Linked DNA regions of Tamandua tetradactyla. The protein of the gene in region 2 binds, or shares a complex with, the protein of the main gene of each other region. Links are inferred from orthologs where the notes say so. Each region holds a gene or a part of one and is shown on either strand. Other genes may lie near its edges.

Region 1 (10,507 bases), on a different chromosome or scaffold from region 2:
GGATTATTATCTGCTGTTTTTTTCTACTCCAAATGCTATTTCCCATCATTGTCCTACTCTATAAAGAGTGGGTCCATTTGGCAGGAGGTTGAGCTTAATCTTTTCAGCGATGTCATTGAGTTGAGAGTGGGCAAATTAGAGGTGGCTGGAAAAGTTGTGCATGTGCCATACAGATGCCATATCACTTTTTTTTCTCTTTGTAAAGTTTTACTTGTCCCATGCATGCTTTGTTTCCCTAATAAGGCAGTGTCTTAACTCTCACTGCCTTTCCTTGTTAAACTCCCTCAAGTGGGTATTTCCCCCATAAAGTTTTGGTTCTATTATGTATATTGTGTCAGGAAAAGCTTACTGCCTCCCAGATATCAAAAGTGGCAAGGTGGGGTGTATTCATGGAAAGTGCTTAGCATTTTAACCTTAAATACCTACATTTAAGAAAAATTGAGGTTTTTCACAACTTAATTCACTTGATAGTGACATGTAGCCTTAGTGGAAGGAACAATCATGGAGAAGTTTCATAAGCAATTTCAAGTCTGTCACACACCAGAGATATTTCTAAGTTCTGAACTGACTGAACGCTGACTGGCAGTGCTTTTCCCTAATAATTCCATTAGGGAGTTATTTTTAATAATAAAAATTTATTATTAAAATTATATATTAATAAAATATTTTAATAATTTTTAAAATAATAAAATTAACATTTTATTCCCTGATAATTCCATTGAGTAACTCTTCAAATCTACAGTTTCAGGTTCCTTTAGGCCTAGATTTTTACAGGCCATGATTTTTTTTCAGTCCAAAATGCTTTTTCCAAAATGCTCTAGAGAAGAGGTCAGGTTCTGTCCTACTAAATCGTCCAGGGTCTGTGCATAGGGGCTTTTTACAAGTGCCTGAGAAGACTCCTCCCCTTAAAGTCCTTAGTGTACTTTTATAGTCTCTTCCTGTATGGTTTTGAGAAAAAGTTAAGGATTTTGCCTTTGTTGTAAAAGTCTCTTTTCCACAGATCACTTCATCTGGCCAACAGGAATTTTCCAGATTTACCTTTAGATATTTCAAGTTAGAAAGATAAGGCTATATTAAGGGAAAACTATAATATTGGCTCAAACCACTGATTTACCAATTCTAAATTATACAGAATGGGAACCATAAACAGATTCTTAGTTTAAAATGAACTGAACAGAGGTGGAGTTCCTTCCCTTAATCTTGGACTGAAAGGGATTATAGCAGGTTAAATTAATTTAGGGGTGAAAAACAAGACAATGTTAATGGGGTCATATAGTGAAGACATGTAAGAGGCAAGGAGGGGGAAATAGACACCACACTTAATGATTTTATCCCTGCCTGAAACACAAAGCCCTTCTAAACTGAGAACAGCTCACGAACTGAGCTTAGTATCAGCCTTCCCTGGCAAAGGAGGGGCTTTTAGGAGGAGGACAAAAGACTCAGGAAGAAATCAGGGGGTCTTAATATTCCATACGCGTATGTCCTCAAGGCTCATGATGCTCTCTAGATCCCGTAAAGATTGTCCACATTTTGTGGAAATAAGAGACTATTGATTATAGGAATGGCAGTGCAGGAAGGAAGAAAACTAACTGAGACCTGGGACCACTTCAGTTACCCTACACATAAAAATCACAGGTTTTATTTTTACATGGCTACAACATAAGGTTCTTTGTGATAACTGCATTTGGCAGATGAGATCTCAGGATACTCAGCAAAAGAAAGGAAAATAGACCTGGAAATCAGAAATTGAAAGCAAATTTCAAACAACTATTTGAAAGGGGTTATTTCTATTTGCTAATGCTGCTGGAATGTAATATACCAGAAATGGGTTGGCTTTTACAATGGGGAATTATTAGCTTACAAATTTATAGTTCTAAGTCCATGAAAATGTCCAAATTAAGGCAGCAACAGGACAATACCTTCTCTGGAGAAAGGCCTCTGGTATCTGGGATTCTTCTGTTACATAGGAAGGCACATGGCCACGTCTGCTGGTCCTTCTTTCCTGGGTTGTGTTGCTTTCAGCTTCTGGCTTCAGTGGCTTCCTCTCGGAGCTTCTGGGAATCCTCTCTTAACTTCTTCAGGGCTTGTATCTATTAGCTTTTCTTAGTTTCATCTCTCTTAAATGACTCAGTTGAAAGGATTAAAACGTACCATGAATGGGGTGGTTCACATCTCAATTGAAATAACCTAACCAAAGATCCAGCTACAACAGGAATGGATTTAAATGGATTTAAAGAACATGGCCATTATTGATAATGATTCATTATTTTGGGGGGACTGCAACTTTCTCTAACCATTACATATAGTACCATCTTTTATGGAGAAGCTGATTTCTTTGCCATTCTGGACCTTAAAATGTTCATATATTTCAACTCACTGATAAACTCCATCAGTGGAAATTTATTGAATATAAAAATTCCAAAGAAGGATGAACCTCTTCTTACTCGGCTGTCAATGGTTTCCTACTGTTCTGAGCTTTCTCCCCCTCCCTGGGCTGCTCCCACATCACTGCAACTGCATTCCCTTTTACCATTCCTGCCCAAATTGTACATTATCCTGCAGCACAAAGAGCCACAGCTAGGGAAGAGCAGAGTAGAATTGCAACAGCAAAATCTACTACTGGCTCATCATTTTGACTAGGTCTTAAAGCCAAGATCTAATTCTTCTTCCTGGAATACCTAATATGACAGCTTTACACAGCTATTTCACCCTAGGTTCACATCTGATTTCTACCACCTGGAGTGCAGTAGAACTAGTATCTCAGAGCCCAGAGCCAAAATAGCAGATTCCTATCCCTCTGCTCCCCTTCCCCAACAATTGCCCGGGCCAACTTACCTAAATCCTCTCTTCCCGGTTTGGTCTTTCCATGTGATTGACATTAGCAAGGTCCATTCTTACAGTGATCAGCCATCCTGGTTTGCCTAACACTGTCATGGTTTAACACTGAAAGTCCTGTGTCCTGGAAAATCCCTCAGTCCTAGGCATGCTGGTCAAACTGTACTGGTCACGGTACTTCAGGGGGAGCACCTTCCTACCCTGAAGGGGGTGGCTCCACTAAAGGAATCCTATCAGAACTCAGTAGTCAACAACCAGCCCAGGAATTAATTATTGAGTCTTAAGTAGGGCATCAGTGGTATAGCCCAGGGTACTTTTTACCTCTGCCCACTTGATTTCTTTTTTCAGTCTTCCTCCTGTATGAGTGCATTACTGTAGCTTTGGGGGTTTTCAATTCCTCATCTCTTGTGAAGAACCATTTCGATCCATATACTTATCTCCATAAGAACAAGCAATGGTTTGCTCTCACACTGAAGTTTAAGTCCACGCTTAAAAAAAAACAGTTCTCTAAAGGAAATTTATCTGTTAGAGGTACAACTCTGCTTGCAGAATTAACCATCTTTTCCATGGTCTTAAGATCAGTCTAGGTTCATAGAGCCATAGCTTCTCAAATATCTCCATTTTCAGACAATTATTTTAGATTTATATTACATCCTGATTTCCCCAGAATGAAAGTCTCCAGCTTTTGAAAACCAAAAACTTCTTGTAACTTTGAACTTGGTTTCTTTAGCCTTTATCACTGCAGTCAAGGTTCAAAATGATGTAGTTATTTGAGTCAGGCTTGAATCAGAGCTGAAGCCCTAGACGCTTATGTTCCACAAGTTTCTCCAAGAAGAAAACTTATCTAAAGCATAATCTTAGATTGGAAACTCAGCCCCCGGAAGGCTGCAAAGGAAGGTCTATTTGCCTGCCCCTCATATGGTTCTAGGAATGTTACTTGACTTTAGTGGGAACATGGCTGCCCAAGATAAAAACTAATTCCCAGCTTCTTTTACACTTAGGCATGGCTATGTGACTAAATTCTGGCCAATAGGATACATGTGTAAGAGTCCTGTATTATTTTCAGGATGTGTCCTTAGTGCTAGGAGACATGCCATTCCTCTTTTAGCTTCCTTCTGGTCGGAATGTGGACATAATGGCTGGAGCTAGAACAGTTATCTTGGACTTGAGGTGGAAGCCACTAATTGAGGATAGCAAAGTTACAAGACAGAAAGAAACTCGCCCCTAATTGCTATATTTATCCTATGCTGTACATCCCTGGATTTCTTCTCCATGACAGAGAAGTAAAACTTTACCTGGGATAAGTTACTTTTTTGTTGTTTGTGAGAAAAAGCCTAAACATAAGGTTATATAACTGCCTTTTTTCCAAGTGCAGCAATACCTGTTACACAGAAAATCTTTGGATGTAATGTAAATATTCAACAATGGGGAGTAGGTATTTGTCAGTATAACCTCTCAGTGGAATATTGTGCAACCATTAATGAGGACATCTATTAAGTACTTCAACAGGGGAAATGATAAAATACAAAACAATAACACAATTATATCTGTGCTTAAATTAAACTTTCAAAATTATATTTCCAAGGACTGTTTGGGGACATGAACACTTAAGAATTATGCATTTTGGAAGCAGAGTTTCTTTGTTTAGACTTCCATAAAGTGTTGCTATATTGTTTACTTGATTTAAAAGTTCTCTAAAACAGTGGTAGCCAAGTGTTTGACCTCATGGATTGCATATTGTGGATTTTTGGTGTTACCCTGTAACTACTGCATCATGTATCTGGGTTGTGACTTAAATGCTTTCACTGACTAAAAGGAGGAGATACAAAAATAACATTAAATTGTTAAAAAAAAAAAACACAAAAAACTAATGCTGTTAAGTATGTGTACTTTTACTGTGATTAGATTATAAACTCTTTTAGGGCTAGGACTATCTTGTTTCTTTTTTACGTTCCGTCCTCTCCAAGTTTCATCCCTTTTCAGGAGGAGATGGGGTAGACTGTTATTGCTCACATTGGTAATCAGTATTTGTAGGGATCTATGTGATTTATTGAATTGTGCCTAGTATGAACATATAAATCCATACTTGTGTTGAGTATATTATTTTGTTTACTAAGATTACTGAGAAAGGCCATTGTTGTGATGATGAGAAAGTCAATACACTTTATCATGTTCTAAACCCAAAGGCTTAAAAAAAACATTTTACTTAGAAATAATTTCAAATTTACAGGACAGTTGCAAAAGTGATACAAAACCCATACAGAAAATTCCAATATAGACCCTACCCATATACCCAGATTTACCAGCTTTAAATATTTTGCCACATTTGTTATGTCATTCTACTGTCTACTGTCTATTTATCTAATCTATTTTGTAAACATTTGAAAATAGGTTGCATACATCATTCCACTTGAAAACCTAATACTTTCATGCATATTCTTAAGAACAAGGATATATGCTTATGTAAATCACATTAAGTACAGTTATCAATGAATTCAGAGACTTTGGCCACTGTGTAAGAAGCACACCTGTGGTTCTGTGGTAGGCTCAGGGGCCAACTAAATCAATATGTAGCCCTTTAGAGGAAAGTAAAAGGGAAAAAGCAGTACTGGAACTGCTTAATGGAGCTTTTGTATAGGTGATTCCCTTTGCTCCTCAGTCTAGATTCTCTCTCATTCTGTCTCTGCCTCTGTGTCTCTCTATCTATATATACTTATTCTGGCGAATGTGTTACAGAATGTTAGGGCTGGAGAAAACTCAGGACTCATTCATTCACCACAGTGTTCCATGAAAAAATAAGGGTCAGAAGAGGTGATTTATCAATTGGGATAAGTAGCTGTTGAAAGTACCTAAGGTAGTTACTGAACCAGTTAGACAAGAAAGGCTATTGAGCTATGATTTGCTCTTCAACACTCTCAAGAAAGACTCCAGTTCTCTAAACAATTTAGTGGGCAACCGACACATAAAAAAAATGGCAGAAACACCGACTACTTAACTCCAGGGCTAATGATCTGAATTTGTTTACTTTTGCCTTGAACAGGAAACAGATTTTGAATTGGAGCCAAGCAGTTTTTCGGCGCTCGGCGGCGAAGCCTTGAACGACCGCCTGGGCTCTCTTCCATTGATGTCTGGGACGTTCGTGGGTTCGGTGATCCTCTGCGCCGTCTTCTGGGTTGATGTCTCCTGAGCCGCAGCGGCGGCGCCCGGTCGAGGGCTGAGTTACCCGCGAGGCACCGCGCTCAGGCTGCTTTCTCCCGCCGGTCGGTAGAGCAGATTCCCTGCTTCCTTCCTGCCTTCTCCGTCTTCCCTTTTGTGGCCCAGCCCACCCGCCTGGCTGCAGACCGCGACCCCCGCCCGTCTTGCAGGTAGGCCCGGGAGGAGCCTGGAGGCCCGGCATCCTTCGGCCGCGGGCGGAGACCTTGGCGCCGGCGGGCGGGCAGCTCCGGACGCGGCCGGAGGGGCGGTGGGGAACTGAACCGAAAGGAGGGAAAGATGCTGGGGCTGCCCGAGGTGGCTCGGGAGGGAGGGCGTATGTTGGGTCTAGGGCGAGCGTCGGCACCCATGTGTTTGGGGGGAAATCGCTTTCCAGGAACGGATAAAGCTTTGCGCGCTTTGACCCTCCTTCTGTTCTCCTTTTCCCTCTCCTAAGGTTCCGGGTGTCATGACTCAGTTTGCAATGGGGACCCTCTCTGAGTTCGACCTTTGAAGGGACGCTTGAGTAGGTGAAGGCATGTGGAACAAGGTCCTGTGAGCCAAGTGTCATGTTCTCGCCTATTTTGGGTAGGGAAACTGAGGCTGGGGTCTGGGACGAGACTTTTCCCTATATCCTCGGGCAGATCTTTAAAGGCACCGTAAGTCTCTTTTTGTCACTTACTAGTTTATTTTTTACCCCATTTTACCAGTCACTTTATGCATACAGTGATGTGTCGTTTAGTTTCCTATGATCCCTCCCTCCTGGGAATATAGATGCTGTCACTGGCGACTTTAGAAGTAAAGGGTCCATTTGATCTCTTGGCTCGTTTTTCTTTTCAGAGACTCAGTCATTTTACTGCGAGTAGCAATGACAGTTTCTTGGTACATAATTTTGTTTGCTGTCCAATTTGCTTTCTGGCGGATACGTTTTGCTTCTTCCTTTCAACTTGTTCTTAGTGAAAACTTTCAACTATGGTGTTTTAAGTGGTCAGTGTCCGACAGAGGAGGATCAAGATTTTGAAATCAGATGTTTGTCCTGTGAATGTTTGCTTTCTAGGAAGTATACAAAGGAAATCCAAGGATTCCCTTTCGAAATGGTTTGATCATATTTGATTTGTGGTTTAGTCATTCCATATAGTAGAGATAAAACAACCTGTGTGTAAAAATCATTCAGATATTTAGGCATTTAAATTAGTCAACATTCTAGGGACTCCATTATGTTTCCATTTGCTCTCATAATTTAGAAACTTTGGGGAGTACTGTAAGTATTCTTACTCATTTTATTTTCATGGGATTCAGTGTCTGTGATCCTGGTTTGTGCAACTTCTTTGCTGAAAATAATAATCAGCCTAAAATTCACTCTAGGTTATGTTCCCATAGTATGTAGAATTAATAAGAGAATGCTCTTAAGAACAGATTAGAGTAAAAGTACTGGTCCTTGGATGGAAACTATACAAGTCTGTGTTTCTGCACACTTTTAGAATTCTCATGGGAAGTTTGGAAAGGTTTTTTTGTTCCTCTGATTTTTGGGGAGGTTGGCAAGAACGATCATGAGCCATTTTCTAGTTGCAGGGACCCCAGTGCTTCCAGGAAAGAATTAGTGAAGAGCCACCAGACTATTTTTTGGAGAATCTATATTGGGAAGTTAGTCTTCCTTTTTGAAAAGAAATTTTTATGGCAGAGAAGAATTTATATCAGAGGAAAGAATTTAGAAAAGGATTAATAAGTTGTGTATAAAATTCAGAGTTACATGTGATATTTCAGTGGCTCTTAATAAGTGCTAAATAATAAGTGGAGATTGCTGTGAAGTCACAAAGAAATGTTAGGAAGCTTTTGTTATGTTCTATAGAAAATGATCGGCAAATGTTTGAATTGAGGAGAAGTAATTTGGTGATGGTGGGAGGGTTACAAGGAGAATTTATTAGGGTCTTCTCTGCCTTATGAAAGAAATTCACTCACCTTTTAACTTACTTGGTCAAATCTTGTATTGTTTTGTCAGTGCCAGGTTGGTTTCTCTTCTGGCATTTACTTTCAGAAATATAAAGGGTCAGAATATGAGTATATTCTCTTTTATTAGGAGAGTTCTTGGGGATTACTTGGCCTGGACTGGAGTTATGTATATCACTCGAAAACAATGTCATTTTTATTAATGAATAAAGTTTATGCTGTATATTTTCAATATGAGTTAGGAAACTTATGAAACTGTTTTGGCCTTGTTCCTTTATGCTGCTTATTAATACTGCATCTAAGCATTTATGGTTTTCAGGGAACTTGGTGATTTAGTGACAGTTTAAATTGACAAATTTGCCTCACTCTTCCCATATTATGATACAGCACTTTCTCCTCTTAAAGAAATTGGACAAAACATTATGTTGTTAGCACACCGAGGTATCTTTTTCCAACATATGCCTAATTCTTGATAGTTATTTTGAGATTGGGTGCAAACTTTTTTGCTCAGTGGTTTGGTTTATAGAAACAAAAAGAAAAAAACAAAACTTAAATTCCTTTAATCATAGGGTCATTCTTGTTTCTTTCTCCAGTTGTGTCTCATAAACCCCGAGAAATCTTTGTTTCTTGCCATACTTTCTGATTGTGCAGAAGTGTTATTTACAACCTGTCCTGTGGTTTTGGGGAAAATTTATATCTTTTTTAAGCTTCTTTCTTCCCAAGTTAATTAGATCCATTTTTTTTCTATTTCTTTTCACAAAGCTAAAATTAGTTACTAATTAAAGATAAACATTTTGTGGTAAGTTATTAACAGAAGGTGTTTTACATGTGTAGTTGTATATGGCAGCCTGCCAGTGGGATGTGAAAAGAAAATAGATTAAGGAATCAGGAGATCTGGGTTTAAGTCTTAGGCTTAACAGCTTATTTGTTGAGAATTCTTGTAGAACCACTAAGGAGGATGTAGGGAAGGTTATTGTTGTTATTGAGCATTTACTGTGTCATGCTCTTTACATGTGTGATCTTATTTCGTACTCATAACAGTCCTCTGGGGCCGATATTTTTTCCCCCATTGATACTGAAGCTCAGAGAGGGTAAATAATTTGACTAAGATCACACAGCCAGTGTGTAGTACTGCCTTGGATTCAAATCCCATCCAAGCTAGTGAACTTCATATTATGATGCTTTTCTGGGTATATAAGGAATGGGGAAAAAAATTAGTCATAATATTTCTTCTGAGAAAAAGTGCGTGAAATGGTTTAAAAAAGATTAACAAGGTAGAAAAAGCAAGGTAAAAAGATTGCTATTCATATGTTAACATCTATGCTATCTTACAACAGTTGACCAATGTCATTTAGGTTCTTTGGCAACTTGTTGCTTTCAAGGCAGCATCATGAAATGATGCCAGACAATCATGAAAGATAGAGGTAGACAGACATTAAACCTGCACTGGAGGAGGAGCTTACTAACATGTATGATGAAGGAGTGAGTGCTAGAAAGTGCCCATGAGAGAGAGTGGTTTTAGGTGCTGCACTGAAATGGGGTGAGACTGAGGGTATTTACCACAACTCTTCTGGTAGTCCTGGCTTGTGGATCTTTAGATTAATTTGTTCTAGTATACTAAGTAGCTTTCCTAGGTTATCCTCTGTCTCTTCCTTTGCTCTTAGAGTTGATAGTTTTCACTAATCTACCTAAACTTCTTTTCTTCATTCTGTATTGTGCTCATGTGTTTTTCTGAGTTATGAAATATCACTTTCAGACCTTCTGGAATTATTTATTGACTGTGACTTGTATGTTTCAGCCCTTACCTATTCAAGCTGTTATTCATCTAGCAGATACTTAATGAGTACTCATTAGATACTGAGATAAAAAAGATAGACAGGATAGTTTTTTGCTCTTGCAGAGTTTATTCCAGTGGGAAACAGATCACCAGGTGTTTGTTAAATAATGAAATTTAGGTTGAAATCAATGCACTGAATAAAGCAAACTGACAGAGAGAGGGGTGAAGAAGTGGGAAGGGCACCCAGTCTTTGCTGGGATTGAAGACTTCAATCATCACTTCTTAATCCACCTAAAAAATTGCTTTCACGACATACCATGATTCAGGAAATTCTTCTGCTGCCATCACAATCGATGTCTTCATTTCAGACTGCTGCATGTAATATTTGCCTGTCACTTAAAGTATGATGACATAGTAAAGAATAAGTATGACTTATAAAGATCTATATTGCTTGGCTGATGAGTTTACTATTTTAATTCTAATGTAATCTTAATGTAATTAATTCTTAATGTATTTAATTCTCATTTATTAATTTTCCCAAGTTAACTATTTTTGAAAGTTGAGTTCAATTAATTTAGATGCTGGACACATGCTTTTAATTGCATTTGTGGCAGAGAAGAAAATAAGTACTTAGCCTTACATAAGGGAATAGACTTAGGAGAATTGTGAAATTGAGAGGGAAAATGTAGGCTTTTCCTGAATGTGTGTATAGTATTACCTATGGTCTTGTTTGATGTTTTTTCCCCCCAAGAAATG
Region 2 (10,120 bases):
TGGAAGATGACACGGCTTGTCAAGCCAAGGGCACCCCTGCCCCATTTTTCCTGTAACCCCCCCCTCACCACCGCCACTGCAGATGCTTCCAGCTTTGCCTTTGGGTTAGAAGAGTACCAGACTGCTCATTCCGAAGGAGCAAAGGAGATGAAAGCCTGAAGTGCTGGGGGAAGCGGGGATGCCCTCCAGGCCTGCGGGGCTGGGAACCGTCTCTCCCCAAAGGGGTCCAACGGAGCTAACCACTTTGGTGGCTGCCTGACAGTTGTGCCTCGTTGCTTCCAGCGGTGTCACTGACCCACGAGTTTGCTTGCGACTGCTGGTCCCTTCCACTGGAGCAGAAACTGGTCCCTATTACGTGAGGGGGCCCAGGCACCGTCTGAGACTCGCTGGGCCCACCCCGAGACCCCGGAGAGCCTCAGACAGTGGGCCTCGCTGTCCCAGCAGAGACCAGCCCTGTGGTTTCTGCCCTTTGTCCTGGTGTCGCTTCTCCAGCCCTGGATGCCTGTGTTTCTTTTCCATTAACTTTTAACAACTTTTGCAGGGTGTGGAGGCAGAGGAGTCAGGGATGAAGGAAGATGAATGTGCTTCGCCTTTTTCAGAAATCCGCTCCACGATCTGAGTCTCCCGTCCACAGCTCAGAAGTGAATGAATAAAAGCAAGTTTATAGATTAGAAAACCATTTGAAAAGTCCTCTTTCTGAACATAGCCAGATGTTTAATTCTGCATTCAGCATGCATCACACGGCCACCATGCCACAGAAGGACAAATTGACGAAGGAATAAATTTAGTGGCAGGCGTTACCTTAACTCCTTCCGGCCTTGCCTCCTCGGGGATGCTATGACACCCCATTTCACAGATGCAGATAGACACCTGGGAAGATGGCACAGCTACTGGAGGATCTGGGAATTCGTGTGAGTCCCTTGCACTGTTTTCATGGATAGTGTGGCAAACTTCTCGGCATCTTGAAAAAGAAGCGGCTTGGTTTCACCTGAATTCTTGAGAAAGCGGATTATCATTGTGATTTGCTTCTAAGAAACCTGGATCTGTTCTGACACAGAAGTGGTGGTTAAGCGTGTGGGCTCCGACAGCCATGCCATCCCTATGCCAACCGTGTCAACCTGGGCAACGTACCCCACCTCCCCAGGCCTCAGTTTCCCCCACCCATTAAATGGGCTTCCTGAGGCCTTGTTTTGAAGATTGTGTAAAAAGGACGTTTGTCAAAATGGCTTGCCCAGGGCAAACACTTTGTCCAAGTGAGGAGCGAGGCCTCTGTGTGGGTGGAAGCTTTTTCTCCCAACCCCACAAGACACAGGCTTCGGAGAAGCTGGACACTGGTCCCTGACACTAGGCCCTGCCATGTGGTCAGGAAGTCGACACTTTGCCTCCAAGTGATTGCAGGGGGAGCCCCCTGTCCAAGCAGGGAACAGGGAGATGCCTTCCTGAACCTTCTCGAAATCTCTCCCACCTGCCCAAGCCTGGGGCTTCACAGAGCACCAGGGTCCCCGTGGGTGGGACCCCGAACTTGACCTGGCCATAAGCTCAATTCTTTAACTTAAACTGACACTCAGAAAAAAGGAGAGTGCAAGAGAAAAAAAGACCATTCAAGACATAAAAAATGTAAGTATTTTTAAAAATACTTATAGCCATCTTAAGGACTTTTTCCTATTTGATTAGGATCCTGCTTCCTAGTTGCAGGATACGTTGGCCTGAGCCACGGAATGATTTTCAATAACAAGGAAAAGAAGAAAACTGTCAGGCGGCTGGAGCTCTTCCGCATTTCTGTCCCTCCTGGGAGGGTGTAAGTGTCACCGGTCAGTTCTGTCGCGGTTCTCAGGTGGACGTTTCTCAGCCTTTCACTGATACCAGTGGGTTACAATAGGTTATTACGCCGGCAGCACAACTCTGCTTAGTACGTAAAAGAGCAATCCCTCCGGGCGGGGCGGGGACCGGCTGGGCCCGCAGGCGGGACCTGAGCGTCCGCGGCCCGCACGCATTAGGTTCTCCAGCGCTCGGAAGCCGCGGGTGCGCGCCTTCTCCAAGCCTTACGGTAGGCGCGGCGCGCAGGGCAACCACGTGGCTGGGGAACCGCGGCCGGGCGGGAATGCGCGGAATGCAAGGCGCGTCCCCGCTCGCTCCCAAGCGGGTCAGAGCGGCGCGCGCGCGCTCTCGCCTCCCGCGACACCCTGGCCTGGCCGCCCAGCGCTGGCACCCGACAGACTGAGCCCTGCGTGGGGCCCACGGCAGGTTTTGGGGGCGGAGCGCGGACCGACCGACCCCTCGGGCCCCGCGCGCCCAGGTCCCCCTAGTGGATCCCGGACCCCCGCCCCCGCTGCCAGACCCCGACGGCGCGGGCCGGTGGGAACCCAGGGGAGGGATGCAAGGCCTTAGCTTTGCAACTCCCCTGCCCCCGAGCTTGGGAAAAGAAAGCTCCCTCCACATCCCCGTCCGAGAAGAGTGTCGCAAGCCCCAGAAGCCGGAGGCGCCCCTTATAACGACCCCGGCCGCCCCTCCATCCATCTCAGGGGCCGAGGCAGAGGCTGAAAGCGCTCCGGGGCCAGATCTGGGGCAGGAGGAAGACGGCTGGAAGAGCGCGGGGTGCGGGGCGCGCGCGCCTTGGAGCCGACGTCGGGCTCGGCGCGGGTCCTCCGCCTGGAAAGCCCCGCTGCGGAGTCGCCGCGGCCGCAGGTTTCCGAGACCCCCGCGGGTCCCCGAGCGGCGCCCTGCGCCCCTCGCTTTAAGTGTGGGTGCACCGAGGCCGTTACCCCCACCCCACCAGATTTCTTTGCCTTGGTTGAAGGTGGTTTACTGGGCGCCCACTCCCCGCCCCTTTTGGCCAGGAAAGGCCCAGGGGCCTGAGTCGTGAGCCCCAGGGAGGGGGGCGTTCCTAGTTGGCTTTGGGGTTCTTATCGCTCAGGGTGCCGGGCGTGGAGGGAGGTAGAATTTTCTTTGACCCCCCCAAGAGTTTGCACCTTTTCCCTTGGGATCCCAAAGATGTCGTTGGGCCCCAGACCCCCAGTGTGACCTGCCCAGGTTCGCTTTAACTCGCGCACAACTCGCCCGCGGCCGTTAGAGTTGGGGGAGTGGGGGCGGGTACCCGAGTTGTCCGAGGGGGCGGGAGCTGGTGTGAGACTTAGGCGGAAACGTACCCCCGCAGCTCGAGGCAGTGAGGTGGGGGTGGGGTGCGGTTACCCGGTTCCCAGCGTACGGCTACCCTGTCCCGCAACGTTGAGACGCTCGGGGACCCGCGCCGCGTAGGCCTGGCCGAGCTGTTGCAGCACGTGGCCAACCGCGAGCACCCCAAAGCGAGCAGCTTTGGAGAAGGGGAGCCCGAGCGCCCCCGGAACCTCGCGGCCGGCACTCGGAAGCATTCTACAGCGCTACTTAAGGGCTTAACAATGGAAAACTCGCGGGGCGAGAGCCAAGTCCTTTCAAGTCGCCGCCAGGTATGCGGCTGCAGGTGACCCAACCTGGGTGCGCCCGCCCGCTAGCCCGCCTTCCCGATCCTCCCGGAGGAGGACGAGTGCCCCTCCCATGGGTTCATCACCCCACTCCCCAAAGCCCCCTGTTGAGTCGGTGCGCAGCCGCGGTGCGTCCCAGGGTCGGTCGGGTGGCGCGCCGGTTCCTGAATGAACGCGCTCCCTTCCCCCGCTGAATGGAGGTTCCCACAGCCAGGGACGGTGGCAAACACGTGTCTGCCGCGGAATTCGTCCTCTCGGGGCCGGCAATCCGCCCCAGCAGCAGTCAACGGCGTGGGGGACCCGGGGGCAAGGAGAGCGGGAGGCGACTTAAGTTACTTTTGGATTTTCTTTCAAACCAACCTGGTTACCCTCCCGTTTGGGCCACCGGACCTTTGTCTCCCAAATGGTCACCATGAAATAAGCATGGAGCACTTTAAACAAGTTCAGAGTTCGCAGTTCCTGCTTCGTGGTGGGTTTTAAAAAGACAGTGAGAAGTTGAAACTGCAGGAGAAAAGTTTTTGCAAAGTTACTTTTCTCTCTTCGGAAAAAAAGAAATGAAAATCAAAACGCGCCCTCGGCTCTCCTCTAAGCGATCGCACCCCCCCCAACTCCCACCCCCACCCCCCAGGACTCGGAGCTATTGGTTCCCTCGGGAGACAGGGGGTGCCGCTTAGCAGGGCTCACTGGGATGGAGGCTGGGCGCTTGGCGCTCCCCGCCGAGCCCCAAATTCCAGGGCCTCCCCCGCGTGTTCCTGGACGGCTCTTCACGCTTGCCCGCGGGGCTTGCACTTTTGCGCTGGTCCCTGAGCGGGGACCTCAACGAAGTTGCTGGTCGAGATCTGCCCGGTCCGCCTAGTAACAGCGCCGCGCCCCCATTGGCTCATGCTAATTCCCGTTTCCTCTGCCTTTCTCCCGGCTGGGTAGGGGGGAGCTCCCTGCTGCACCCGGAGCCCGTTTTGCCGGAGTGGGCGATCCTTTTTCTGCGCCGCTACCCGTCGCCGTCGCCGACCGGCCTCGCGCTTCGGGCCCGGCCGGGGCGCACGCGGGGGCTCCAGCCCGCGAGCCCCTGGAGACGGGCGCTGTCCGGCTATAGCGCGCGGCCCCATAAATCACCCGGGCAGCCGCCGGGTCCGGATTTTATGAATGAAAAAGCAGCCTCGCCGCCTTCGTGCGCGGGCCGTGGCTCTGCAGGCTCGGCGGTGCCCGGGGAGGGGGGACGGCGAAGGGTGCGCCGTGCTGAGTCCACCCTCCGCTTTGAAGGCGTGAGCCCGGGTAATTACCCTCCCAGGACCCGACCTAATAGTCACCCTAATTCCCGGATGGGGGGGGAGGGGCGCGGGAGAAATCTGCCCAGCAGGGTGGTATCTGATCTCGCCGCGTGCACCCCTTCATCCGTTTTTTTCTGAGCTTTTACTGCTAGGGATGCAGTGGTTTTACAGCACTCAGCTATATTCAGAGAGAAGTAAATGAACAATTTTCCTAATTTGAGGCACACTGTAAAAACTGTAAAAAAAAAATGAGATGGAGAAATTCTTTTTAAAGGCACCAAAGAGACGGTCTATACTTAATTAAAAGCACTTTGTGTATTTTATTGTGGATTCATCTTTCTTCAGTTTGAGATGATATGGAGGGCCCTATTGTTATAACCGTGGTTTGGTTAAAAAATCATCAATCAATGCACCCACTTTTTAAATTTACAGTTGTCCTGGATTTACCAGCCCCCTGCCGACCACCGCCTCAGGCTCACGAAGGCGGTCCCAGGGCAAATTCTAATGGTGAGGGGCTGTCCACTTGCCCTTCGAACGCAACTAGAAAGTTCCGGTGGTCTCCTGGGTGGAGAGGCGATTGATATTTCCAATTATTTAATTTCTTTTTCAATTAAAAAAAAAAAAGATGAGGCAGGACAGAGACCACTGCTTTGCAACCTTCCATTCAGAGGTACTGATCTCCCTGTTCAAATGCCGGAATTGGGGTAGGCAGGGGGCATTTGGAGACCCCGCGAGGATGGGCTTGTCAAGGTGGGAGAATGCCGCACATAACCCGGCCAGGAGGACACAGGATGAAGGAAATACTGGCCACCATCTTGAGCCGCTGCTGGAATTTTCGGGGATTTATTTTATTTATTTATTTTTTTTGCGTGAGCCCAGGCGAGGCTGAGATAGGTTCCTTTAACTTTTACCGAACCCTCTTAGGCATTTCTATAAGTGCCTCCCGGGGCGCCGGAAAGAAGCCTCAACCCGGGCTTGCGCCCTGCCCGGCGTCCTGGCATGGTAAAGAGTTCCTGAAATTTACACGTGTTAATGAAAATGAAAGAAAATGCAGAAGCGAGATTGCTCAGCCGTCCCTCCGCCCGTGGGTGCCCTCGTGGCGCTCTCCCGGCTCGGTAATAGGGTGTCGCCGAGCCCCAGACCCTCCTCCATGCGGTCTCCCCCGACTGCGTGTGGCCTGCCCGCCCTCCTAGTTGACCCCCTCTGCAGCGCCATCCCCACCCCCCCACCCCCAAATCCCAGGGACCCACATTAGCAGAACGGGCGCCCCCTGCACCCCTCTTGCCCGGCAGGGAGAAAGACGGCCGCGGGGTGATTTGCATTTCTATGAAAACCTGGCTTCGGGGGCAACTCCGCCGCGGGGCAGGCGCGGCGCCTCCGGGATGGCTTTTGGGTTCTAAGCCCGCGCCCCCTCCCCCTGCGCCCGCCCCCGCCCCCTCCCCCTCCCGCTCCCATTCTCTGCCGGGCTTTGATCTCTGCTTAACAACAGTAAACGTCACAGGGACTACAGGGGAGTTTTGTTCGAAATTGCAAAGTCCTGGAGCCTCCAGAGGGCTGTCGGCGCAGTAGCAGCAAGCAGCAGCGTCCGCCGCGCTCCTTGCGAGGGCCAGAAGCCGGCGAGGGAGCGCGGGGCAGGCAGGAGACGCAGCGCGCGCGCCGAGCCCGGAGCCCACCGCGTCCCAGGCCGCCGAGCAGAGCCGGCAGCATGGAACACCAGCTCCTGTGCTGCGAGGTAGAGGCCATCCGCCGGGCGTATCCCGATGCCAACCTCCTCACCGACCGAGTGCTGCAGGCCATGCTTAAGGCCGAGGAGACCTGCGCGCCCTCCGTGTCCTACTTCAAGTGCGTGCAGAAGGAGGTCCTGCCGTCGATGCGCAAGATCGTGGCCACCTGGATGCTGGAGGTGCGTGGCTGCTGCGAGGGGAGGCCCATTTGAGACTCCTCAGCAACGTGTTGCCCAGATTTCTTTGCCCCTCGTCTGTTCGCCCCACTGTCCCACCCCGGCTTTGAAGTTTGCCGGGGTGTTGTCAGCAGTCGGTAATTTCCAAATAAATCGACAGCGTGGGTAGTTTTTGAACGAGGAAGAAATGGGGGTGGGGGCGTTAGAAGTTCCCTTTCCTCCCGGAGGGGGGTCGGGCGAAGGGTGCCTTCCGGGGGAGTCAGTGCCCGGGGCACCCCAGTGAGCCCGAGGGTGCGGGTGGGCAGGCCGGGCGCCTTTTGTGCCCCCCTCCTGGGCTGCCACCGCGCAGCCCCAGCCTGCGCCCGACTTTTCCTGCGCCGCCTCTCTCGGCCGCTTCGGTCCCGAGCCACCGGCTCAGGGAAAAGGGGGTATAGATTTGATTTTTAAATTAATATCCATGTACACGTATGCAAGGGCCGCCCGTGCCAGTATTATGCGCCATCTTTGTTCTTTTATTGCAAAGCAAAAGTGTTTATTAATAATTGGGGGGAAGGTGGGGGCGGGGAGCGGCCGGCAAGGCGCTGGGGCCGCCGCGAGGGGCCGCGCGGTCCGCGGAAGGGGTGCGGGGACGGGTCGCTGGCAGCTTTGGGGGGGACCCCGCTCGGGAAGGGGGCCCCTTTTGTTCAGGCGGCGAGCCCCGGGGCGCCCCGCAAGGCCAGCCTGGGCCGGAGAGCACGCCGGGCTGCAAGGTCGCGTGGCCCCTAAGATGCCCGGTATTGACCCCCGTCTGTCTGGGTGTCGGCTTGGGGGTGCTGCCCAGAGCGAGCCGGGGACCTGGGGCACATTTTCAGGCCTCCTGGGGACGCCTAGGGGGCCGCTAGTATTTTTAAATAATTTTTGAAAGTGCGGTGTGCTGCCCTCGCGAGAGAGAAGCGGAGCCCGCGCCTAGGGGGAGGGGGGCCCCCGAGTTTGAATTCCTGGGGCTCTCTGTGGAGCCTGCGACGAGCTCCCGAAGCCTGGACTGGGTAAAGGACCGCCTGAGGGTCATTTTCAGGGGGGTTTTATGTGGCCAGTTTTTTTTTATATATTTTTAAATATTTTTTGAAAAGATGACGTCTGGGGAAATGCGGCGCGGCGGCCTGGGACGCCACCTTTGTGTCTCGCGGGCGCGGAGAGCACGGCGCCCAGCTCTACGGCCCAGCACCCCATTTAGTGGCGGACCCCAGGCCAGGCGCGCTCCCGGACCCCCACGCGGGCCGGGGTCCCCGGGGCCGGGCACACCGCACCACCGCGCGCGCCGCAGCCCTGCCCGCTCGTGTCCAGACTATGCCAGCCTCGCAGGGACTTTCCCTTTCAGTTTCGGGGTGGGTGTGTGGGTGCCCGGGGCACGCCGGGGAGGGGGCGCATCATGGGGAGCTCCTGCCACCCCCTGCCCCGGCTCTCTCGGCGCGCGGGAACCGGCCGGCCTGGGCGAGCGGGGTGGGGGTGCAGGGTGGCGGTAAAGGGGTCCTGCGCGTCCCGGCGGCGGCAATCACGGACTCTCCCCCACCCGCCACCCCGATACCCCGGCAGGTCTGCGAGGAGCAGAAGTGCGAGGAGGAGGTCTTCCCTTTGGCCATGAACTATCTGGATCGCTTCCTGTCGCTGGAGCCCGTGAAGAAGAGCCGCCTGCAGCTGCTGGGAGCCACCTGCATGTTCGTAGCTTCCAAAATGAAGGAGACCATCCCCCTGACGGCCGAGAAGCTGTGCATCTACACTGACAACTCCATCCGGCCAGACGAGCTGCTGGTACCCGTGGGGTCCCCCACCCACTCACCCACCCACAGCCACCCCGTGAACTGCAGGCGGCAGGGGTCCCCCGCCCGGCACTGACAGGCCGTATTCCCCGAAGGAGGGCAGCCACACTGTCCCGGAGCTGCGCTTGGAGGAGGAGGAGGAGGAGGAGGCGGTGGGGCCCCAGGCGCCCCGAGTCTTCGCCACCCCCACCCCCACCCCCACCCGCACCACACTTTCCCTGCGGCCCACTTTAGCGCCCCGCGGCGTGGCCGGTAAATGGGCGGCGCGCGCCCTCTTGCGGTGGCGGCGTGCGCTGGCCGCCCGCTAATGAATCAGGACTTTTCCTTCCAGATGGTGGGAGGTCTTTTTGTCTCCACTTGCAAATAGTTGGCTTAATGGGAATGCGAACAGGAGCCGTTTCACGCGGCACCTTCTCTGTTTTGACCTGAGCCTTGCCCCCACTTCCCAGATCCCTCGACACCCCACCCCCACCCCCAGGGCTGCCCCCCAAACCAGGGTGCTGGCTGGGACCCTCGGCTGACCGTTGCGCCCCTTTCTGCCTTGCTCCCCTCCACCCCGCGTGCCCAGCAAATGGAGCTGCTCCTGGTGAACAAGCTCAAGTGGAACCTGGCCGCGATGACCCCGCACGATTTCATTGAACACTTCCTCTCCAAAATGCCCGCGGCCGAGGAGAACAAACAGATCATTCGCAAACACGCCCAGACGTTCGTCGCTCTGTGTGCCACAGGTAGGGGCGGGCTAGCGCCCACCGTGTGCTCCCCGGAGGGTCCTCAGGCAGAGTTGCCGGTCGCCCGCCGCCCCTCCTTGCTGGGTGGCCGCGTGGCCCCAGGGCCTGGCTCCCTCCCTCTGAAATGCTCCCCAGGCCCCTCCTGCTCTCTGGCAGCGCCCCTCTTTCTCCGCCGGAGTGAGCAGGGGGGTTTGGGGTTGGAATCTTTGTTTGCCCGGAGGGCAGGACCGAGAGGGAGGTGTCGCCCTCTCCAGGGGTCACGCCGCTGAGACTGACCGTGGCCACCGTCCCGTGCCTTGGTGCCCCGTCCAGCTGCGCTCCCTGGACTGGGCAGGCCTGGCCGTGGCCGCTCCATGCTGGAAGGGGTTTACCTTGGCGTCCGGGCGGGCCTCCTCCCCCACCCCACGTCCAACCCTTCCCGTGTCCTCAAGGAGCCCAAGCTGCGGGCCCCCTCCCGGCCTCTCCCGGCTGGGCCACCTGCCAGGGGCGCCTACGGGGCGGGGAGCCCCAGCGGGCCGGCAGGGCCTGCACCACGTGCTCGGCGCCGCGCGCGCGCGGGGGCGGCCCGCTGAGCGCCACGGCTGGAGGCCCCGCCAAGGGCACAGCCCTGGGGAGGGGCTTGCAAGCTGGCCGCGAGGGGCCCAACCCCCGCCTCCCCGGGCGGCTCCCGGCCACCCCGGAGCCCTCTCCCGGGCACAGACCCGCGCCGGGCAGCTTCTGGGAACTTGGTGCATCAGCGCCCGCAGTCTTGCTCCCTCTGGCCCCCTAGTTCCCCTTGACCACTTTCCTTTTTCCCACCTGGGTAAGGAAAAATGACCCCCTTGGTGGAGGGAAGTCCCCACCCCCCACCCTGCCCAGCTCTGCCCTGGCCTGCCTCTTCCCAATCAGGCCTGTTTCCACATCTTTTTTTTGGGGGGGGGGGGGCGGCACTCTGGGGGACTTGAGGACCAGGAGAGGGGGTGGCATCAAA

The links. Proteins that work in one complex are often made in the same cells at the same time.
Region 1: the proteins of CCND1 (region 2) and AMBRA1 are in contact, whole or in part, in a cryo-EM structure (PDB 9IVD), measured with the Homo sapiens proteins. The link is inferred for Tamandua tetradactyla from reciprocal best matches to the Homo sapiens genes CCND1 and AMBRA1. Residues at the interface, in NP_444284.1 of Homo sapiens: Thr286, Pro287, Thr288, Asp289, Val290, Arg291, Val293, Asp294, Ile295; in NP_001354397.1 of Homo sapiens: Arg54, Ser55, Phe57, Val73, His75, Arg96, Thr97, Trp99, Leu116, Ala139, Arg184, Ile945, Asn1012, Asn1029.

Annotation. Positions count from the first base shown.
Region 1 is NC_135334.1:123,312,417-123,322,923, reverse strand, and holds the start of AMBRA1 (activating molecule in BECN1-regulated autophagy protein 1), read left to right. Parts: upstream 1-5,979; 5' UTR 5,980-6,200; intron 6,201-6,385; exon of another isoform or gene 6,386-6,686; intron 6,687-10,507. UniProt on the Homo sapiens protein: Substrate-recognition component of a DCX (DDB1-CUL4-X-box) E3 ubiquitin-protein ligase complex involved in cell cycle control and autophagy.
Region 2 is NC_135335.1:4,929,261-4,939,380, reverse strand, and holds the start of CCND1 (G1/S-specific cyclin-D1), read left to right. Parts: upstream 1-6,197; 5' UTR 6,198-6,431; coding exon 6,432-6,629; intron 6,630-8,198; coding exon 8,199-8,414; intron 8,415-8,990; coding exon 8,991-9,150; intron 9,151-10,120. UniProt on the Homo sapiens protein: Regulatory component of the cyclin D1-CDK4 (DC) complex that phosphorylates and inhibits members of the retinoblastoma (RB) protein family including RB1 and regulates the cell-cycle during G(1)/S transition.